Linked DNA regions of Zea mays. The protein of the gene in region 1 interacts with the protein of each later gene in a pairwise test. Links are inferred from orthologs where the notes say so. Each region holds a gene or a part of one and is shown in the gene's direction. Other genes may lie near its edges.

Region 1 (3,971 bases):
TGTGGAAGACCATCCTGCCTCTAAGGAATAAAGACCGGAAGTTTGGAAAATGGTCGCCAAGCTGGGAGGGTCCTTATAAAGTAAACATGTAATATTTGGTAACGCCTATTTACTATAAATATTACAAGGCAAGGATTTACCCAAAGCTTTGAATGGACGTTTTCTCAAGCAGTACCATCCTAGTATGTGGCAAGATGCTTAAGAAAATCGATGTGATCACATCGAGTTAAGATGCTTTTGGTTTGCCCATCTCCACCAAAAGGCAGGGGGCATATGTTTGGCACCAAAATGAGCGTGCGGACGGTCCGGCCCTGAGGCCGGACAGTCCGCGCCTGTGGGCCGGACGGTCCGCGCGTGCGCAGAGCAGATTAGGGTTCCGAGTTTTGTGCTACGGTTGTTAGCTAGATTCGCAGAATTAGCTCGGAAATCAGTTGTGTAAAGGGTCCAGCCCCCTCCTGTATAAATAGAGAGGTATACGGCCGATTTGTAATCAGCAATCGAATCAAAACACTTCTATTTCGCATTTATTTCCTATGAGTAGTTATAGTCTAGTTCTAGTTTAGCCTTCCGATCCCCAAATTCTTCGCCTCTACGTGGATTAGAGGAGTCTAGGTCGGCCTGCCCGAGCCTAGATAACTCCTAGGATCTCTCCTCCCCGACGGGGTCTCTCCCGGGAGCGAGATCCAGGCGTCGCCGGCGATCTTCCGCCGCCCGGACCGTCTGGCCGTCAGGCAGTAAGCCCTAGCCCCTGCGCCAGGTCGCGGACGGTCCGGCCCCTCGTCGTGGACCGTCCGCGTCTGACCAGAGAGCACCGTCACGGTTCTTGTTGAGTGTTTGGCGCTCCAAAAAAGCGTCAACAATTTCTTAAAAATATATACTACAGTTGGAGAAGTTCATCTTGAGCTAAAAGCTGTAATTCTGATCGGACGGAGTATCTGAATTGTGTAATTTCGTTGAACGACCCATCTCATATGTGTTCTACAAGGAGCCGATCATCATCTGCCTATGACTTATGAGCGGTCGTGAATCATTTTTGAGATAATTCGTGGAACATCTACAGGATAATTAACCTCCTGTTTCCTAGAGGGAAAACACCTATTGGCACGGACTCGGTCGGCATTTCACCGCTGATCATATCCACTCCCGCCATAATAACTACTTATGGATATGGAAACCAACGGCCGTCGTCGTCCAAACCACTACCTCCGTCGCAGGCGCAGGCCGCGCAGTGCAGGGAATCATGGCCACGCTCTACCAGCACCACCTCCTCCCCCTGCAGCGTCTCCCCAACTCCCCCCGCCGACCGCCTCCTCGCCTCCGCCTCCCCACGAAGCCATCGAGGCACCACAATCGGCAGCTACGACCCCGCGCGGCAGCCAGCACAACGGCCACAGTGTCTGCGATGGAGGACTTCCGCCGGTGGCTCGCCTCTCATGGCGCGGGCGATGGAGGAAAAGCCATTCCAGCCGCCGTGCCGGAGGGTCTCGGCCTCGTGGCGGCGCGCGATCTGCCCCGCGGGGAGGTGGTCGCGGAGGTGCCTAAGAAGCTCTGGATGGACGCCGACGCCGTCGCGGCCTCCGACATCGGCCGCGCCTGCGGCGGCGGAGGGGGCCTCCGGCCCTGGGTCGCCGTCGCGCTGCTGCTCCTCAGTGAGGTCGCGCGCGGGGCGGACTCGCCGTGGGCGCCCTACCTGGCCATCCTCCCGCGCCAGACCGACTCCACCATCTTCTGGTGAGTGAGAGGACGCCGATCGCTCCATTTGTGTTTGGCTGCTTCTGCAGTTCTGCGCTATTCTCGTTCTGATGTTTGAGTGGCGCTTGGTGCCTCCAGTGCAGGTCTGAAGAAGAGCTCCTAGAGATACAAGGTCAGTGTGCAATGCAAAAGTTCTTGCCAGTTGTTGTGTGCTGGGATCTCTCGGTAACTTTTATGCTACTTCTGTCACTTGCAGGAACACAGTTGCTAAGCACCACAGTGGGCGTGAAAGAGTATGTGCAAAGCGAATTTGATAGTGTTCAAGCAGAGATCATAAGCACAAATAAGGACCTGTTCCCAGGTAGCATAACATTTGATGATTTCCTATGGGCATTTGGAATGCTCAGATCAAGGGTGTTTCCAGAGCTCCGCGGAGATAAGCTTGCTCTCATACCATTTGCTGATTTGGTAATATGCAATACATATTGGCGTTTTCCAGATTCTAATCCCACTTGCTACGATTCTTCTTATTGTTGTTAAATGGTCCTAGTTGTAATTTCCATGCTTAAGGTACCATGTCAAAAGGATTCAAATAAGGCATTATTTGAATGTTGGAAATGCATTCTTTAAAATTATTTTGCTTGCTTCGCAAATCAGGTTAATCACAGTCCTAATATCACCTCAGAAGGGTCAAGTTGGGAGATCAAAGGAAAGGGTCTTTTTGGTAGGGAACTCATGTTCTCCTTGCGAACACCAGTGAATGTTAAATCTGGACAGCAGGTACAGATGATGTTCCATTTTTCTGCACTAGGTGCACTGTTTTCATGGCTTTCAGCATCTATATGCAATAGTGGATGCTTCAAGTTCAAGTGACAAGCTAAAACGTGCAATTTGTAACTGAGCACTGAGATTTGCATTTACAGATATATATCCAGTACGATCTGGACAAGAGTAATGCTGAACTGGCACTAGACTATGGGTTTGTGGAATCAAATCCATCAAGGGATTCGTTTACTGTGACCCTGGAAATCTCTGAATCTGATCCATTTTATGGAGACAAGCTTGACATTGCAGAGGCAAACGGACTGGGGGAAACCGCATACTTTGATGTAATCCTCAACGAACCCCTTCCCCCTCAAATGCTCCCTTACCTGCGATTACTTTGCATTGGTGGAACAGATGCATTTCTCTTGGAAGCACTCTTTAGGAATTCAGTTTGGGGCCACCTTGAACTGCCATTGAGTCCTGACAATGAGGAATCAATATGTCAGGCCATGCGAGATGCCTGCAAATCAGCCCTTGCTGACTATCATACCACAATAGAAGAGGTTTACCAATTGATTAGATGTAGCTATTCTTTTCCTTCATCTTTTTTATCTTAATTAATTAATCTTATGAAACATGTGTGGAATATTCAGGATGAAGAACTATCGGGAAGAGAGAATTTGCAGCCAAGACTTGCAATTGCAATTGGAGTAAGGGCCGGTGAAAAGAAAGTACTCCAGCACATTGATGGTATTTTTAAACAGAGGGAGGAGGAATTAGATGGCCTTGAGTACTACCAGGAAAGAAGACTCAAAGATCTTGGTTTAGTCAGTGACAATGGTGAAATTATTTTTTGGGAGTAGTAGATATTTGTTTCTAGTATAGTAGTGCTATTTGTCCATAATGCTAATGAAAGGAATGCATTCTGGCACTGTTAACAAGAAATGCATGGTAAATGTCATGCACACTTCTGTGACATAATCACATAGCAGGTAAAAATGGGCAAAATAAATCATCACCCACATTTAAAAGAATACATGATCATCACTGATAGTCGTATCAGGTGAACAGTTAAATTGACATTCACCTAACTATAGATTGGACGTCCTCTCTAGTGCATATGCCAATTGCCAACAGACTTAAACCTGTAAAATATCTATAAGGCCTTTTTTATTGCGCATGGGTTGGCTAGGGATATTTTTAGTTCAATTCTCTGGCAATCCCTCTCAATCCACATCAGAACCAGAAAGGCCACAGTAAATCTCTGCAAGTGCAGCATATGTTGCATACTTGCTTCCACATGTACATTCTTCCAGGTGCGTTTGCAGATGGGCTTGTGCACATGTCATTTGCAATGGTTTACATTCAACCCTCATCACAGCCATCTATCTGCTCCAGTTCCTGTTAATCAGCGTTGTTGCTGATCATATTACAGTACTCGTTTTGTTCAGAGCCCGTACCACAAAATGGCGGCAATTAAAAATCAAATCCAATGGCTTCAAATTTTCATTTGC
Region 2 (3,955 bases), on another chromosome or scaffold:
CATTTATGTAAGTTCATGAATAGGATGATACTGGGTGACATTTTCACTCGTTTTTCTGTTTGGTACTGGTATGTGATACTAACAAGAGCTGATGATTTGTTAGAACATAAAAGGCAGTTAATCCAAGACATGTGAGGACGTTTAAGGTTTGGGGTTAACTCAGCGACTTCACTCTTATGTCTAATCCAATACATCAAGCCGATGATTCTCACACCTACCACACAAAACAATCACAAACCAACTGCAGCAACAGAACTTAGAAGATCCTGGTTACCTAGGAAGGTTTTCGACAAACCAACTCCAGTTACATGAAAACCTTCTTAGACTAAATTATTGTACAACAAAACGTCAGATTAGCCTTTCTAGCTATGCTGCCGACGCGTTAAGTACCACTGGTGAGGATATGATAGAGTGTGGCGGCCTCCCGAAGCCGCCGCAGGTTGGTCGAGTCAATTGGAATTGTGCCCAGTTGATAGTTTTAGTTGATCCAATTCTCATGTCTACAGAACATTCGACTAGCAAAAGACCCAGTGATCTATCAAAATATTTAATTGTTTTACTAAGTCATATGATCAATAACACTTACAAATACATCTGGATGTGAATAATTTGTAGGTATCATTGGAATTCAATCTTCAGTTTGACAAATAACGGCTTAGTAGCACCAGAAAAAGAGGGGGTTATGATTCCACAGTCTGTGTAGTGTGCTGGTTCAGGGACATGGAACCACCATGCGGTTGCTCTGGACAGTTTGAAGACTAAATATCTCCAGTCATGTATATAATAATCTTACAGTCACTGAGAGGAATCACCACATGGATTTTACATATCATAGTGATATTTGTCGTTCCGTTTATATATTTCATACAAATTTTTTACTTCCGTCGCAACGCACGGGCACTCAGCATTGTATTCACGCCGCCCGTTGCCAGGGCTCTAAGTCCATTGGAGGCTCGCAATTTATGTTTCGTGGCATCGCACGGGCACCTACCTAGTTAGAGAAATAAGTGACATGCTTCCTTCATATTTAAATAAATTAAATATTCTAGTTAATCAATATAAAGATCTTAAAGATAAATTCAATGAACGCTACAATAAATACTGGTGCATGGACGACGGTGTCACCGAAAACAGCCTGCTTGCGGTTTACTCTTCCGTTTACATTTAAACTCTCCTGTGCAGCAAGTGTCAAAGCGTGGGCTCGCGTACGTACGTGCACGTGATGTGCGCGTGCATCCGCGCGCTTGTCCGTTGCCGGCTCCGCTCCTCCTCAAATATTCTCGCCTGCCCTCCTCATTTCCTCCTCAACCATTTCATTCCTTCCTTCCTTCCCCTCGCTCGCCTTCCTGGCTTCTTCCTCCCCAGCACGCACACGCACACGCACACACCCAGCCTTTTGGCTGCCCTGCCGGCCGTCAGAGAGAGAAACCGAGCTCTAACTAACTGAAGTGGCGGCCACATAGCTAGCTACTCTTCTGATCCTGAGCGCGCACGCGCCATGGCTCAGGAGGACGTGCACCTGGACGACGCAGGCCTCGCGCTGGGCCTGTCCCTCGGCAGCGGCAGCGGCGGCGCCTCTGGTGCGGCGCGCCACGGTGGTATCAGCCGCCGGCTGAGCAGGGAGGTGCGGCTGCCGTCGCCGCACCCGCTGGAGCCGTCGCTGACGCTGAGCTTGCCGGACGAAGCGACCGCGACCGGGTCCGGCGGGGGCGGGGCCGCGCACAGCGTGTCGTCGCTGTCAGTGGCGGGCGTGAAGAGGGAGCGCGTGGATGACGCCGAGGGAGAGCGGGCGTCGTCTACGGCCGCGTTGCCGCGGGCCTGCGCCGGCGCCGAGGACGACGACGACGACGGGAGCACGCGGAAGAAGCTGAGGCTGACCAAGGAGCAGTCCGCGCTCCTGGAGGACCGCTTCAAGGAGCACAGCACCCTGAACCCGGTACGTAGTACTGTACCCCTGCGTGCGCGACACGTTGGGCGTGACTCACTGACTCCGATCGATTGATGACTGGTTGCTTCGCTGCTTGCTACGCACCAGCACCACAAAACGGCTGCGGCTCCGGCTGCACTTGCCTTGCCTAGTACTACACCTCGATGAATTACTAGTCGACACTGGCTGCGTACATGGCTGATTATTACTACAGCCACACACATATATATTGTACAGTATATGGTACTCGTTATCTCTTTCCCCCCCCCCCCCCCCCCCCCCCCACATATATTTGTATTTTAATATGCCTCAAAATAAGTACAGATATTATTCATCGTTTTTCCACCCCTATCGAGAACGAGAATTCGAGACGAGTTGTGTTTCTGAACGTCCTCCTTTTGCTTTCTGTTGGGGTGTCCTTTTGGCTTGGAGCGAGCAGAAGCAGAAAGTCGCGTTGGCGAAGCAACTGAAGCTGAGGCCACGGCAGGTGGAGGTGTGGTTCCAAAACAGGCGAGCAAGGTTAGTATTAACCAGGCGACACGCACGGACACCGGCCCATGGCATCCGAAGGCGTTGTTGTCGTTTTTTTTTCAATAATATTGCCATGCATGCACACGCAAATAATAAACCAGCAGCGAGCCCACAGAAGCAGATACGACATGCATGCTAATTGCTATGCTTGGGTTTTGTTTAGGACTAATTAAGCTCTGACGGCTGATCGACATATTAACGTGGTTTAGCCGCGCGCGCAGGACGAAGCTGAAGCAGACGGAGGTGGACTGCGAGCTGCTGAAGCGCTGCTGCGAGTCGCTGACGGAGGAGAACCGGCGGCTGCAGCGGGAGCTGCAGGAGCTCCGCGCGCTCAAGTTCGCCCCACACCCACAGGCGCCGCCGTCGTCCGCGACGCAGGCCGGCGCGGCGGCGGGCGTCGTTCCGGCGCCGCCGCCGCCGTTGTACATGCAGATGCAGATGCCGGCCGCCGCCACGCTGAGCCTGTGCCCGTCCTGCGACCGCCTGGCCGGGCCCGGCGCCGCCGCCAAGGCCGAGCCCAGGCCCAAGGCAGCCGCCACCCACCACTTCTTCAACCCCTTCACCCACTCCGCCGCCTGCTGATGATGAGGGCAGGGCAGCACGCAGCCACGCAACGCAGCGGCAGTAAACAGAGCACCGCCCCGTGCAGATAATACCACGTCTGTACGTGTCACAAGTAATTAACAAACGTATGGTCCTCCTCTCTATCTATTTTCTTGATCCGGAGGGCTAAGTTAGTTGTTTTCGTGTCGATCCCAAATGCATCAGCTAATCCATCAATCATAGGCTTGATAGAGTAGTCGAAAAAAATAGCCGTAGCTTTCCTAGCACTCCCTCCGCCCCCCCCCCCCCCCCCCCCCATCCATGTATATTTCTGTTGTAATTCTGTCCCTCTCTCGCGGTCTACTTGCTCCCTTTTCGATTGGAGTACGTAGCTCCTTTGCCTTTTTGTTTTTGGTTTTTTGTTTCTGTTTCTGTTTGAGACAGGTTAATATAATCGCCGTCGTCCGAGGGTGTAGTGTCAGGGATTGATATCCCTGTACACCGATTATTGGATTGAGATGCTTCTAGCTAGTCTTCGTACTGATAAGCGTGCGTGCGTACGTCAGAGCACCACAGTGCTGGAATGGATGATGACATGAGAGACAGGTAGAGAAGCCCAGCTGCGTGGCTCTTGGACCTTTCTGCAGGTGTACGTGGTGTGTACACACGCACACCCTTTTTTATAGTACATATATACGGCTCAATGATTGTGCGTGCCGGGGCTCTCGACTCTCCAAATTGCTGTCGCTTTTGCTCGTTTTAATTATTGGGAGCGCGAGCGCGGCAGCCCGCTCTTGTCTTGAGCATGCCCACCCCTCGCTGGCGCACAAGCCATCAGTTCTCTGCACCGTATATGCATGGCTGCCCGGCCACGGACGAACTTTCAGTTTCAGCAGTCTAATGATCCAGGTGATGGCCACCACCATCAGCTGTAATTCTGGAACATATATATGC

Evidence for each region. The genes of interacting proteins can lie anywhere in the genome.
Region 2: the proteins of [Fructose-bisphosphate aldolase]-lysine N-methyltransferase, chloroplastic-like (region 1) and Homeobox-leucine zipper protein HOX19 interact in binary tests that used the Arabidopsis thaliana proteins (3 or more experiments, as listed by UniProt). The link is inferred for Zea mays from reciprocal best matches to the Arabidopsis thaliana genes LSMT-L and HAT22.

The regions. Positions count from the first base shown.
Region 1 is NC_050102.1:115,535,634-115,539,604, reverse strand, and holds [Fructose-bisphosphate aldolase]-lysine N-methyltransferase, chloroplastic-like, read left to right. Parts: upstream 1-1,196; 5' UTR 1,197-1,240; coding exon 1,241-1,731; intron 1,732-1,835; coding exon 1,836-1,864; intron 1,865-1,948; coding exon 1,949-2,160; intron 2,161-2,349; coding exon 2,350-2,472; intron 2,473-2,615; coding exon 2,616-3,020; intron 3,021-3,110; coding exon 3,111-3,320; 3' UTR 3,321-3,396; downstream 3,397-3,971. UniProt on the Arabidopsis thaliana protein: Protein-lysine methyltransferase methylating chloroplastic fructose 1,6-bisphosphate aldolases. Can also use with low efficiency gamma-tocopherol methyltransferase as substrate, but not a cytosolic aldolase.
Region 2 is NC_050096.1:29,551,956-29,555,910, reverse strand, and holds Homeobox-leucine zipper protein HOX19, read left to right. Parts: upstream 1-1,316; 5' UTR 1,317-1,498; coding exon 1,499-1,936; intron 1,937-2,366; coding exon 2,367-2,446; intron 2,447-2,667; coding exon of another isoform or gene 2,668-2,679; coding exon 2,680-3,040; coding exon of another isoform or gene 3,041-3,111; 3' UTR 3,112-3,387; downstream 3,388-3,955.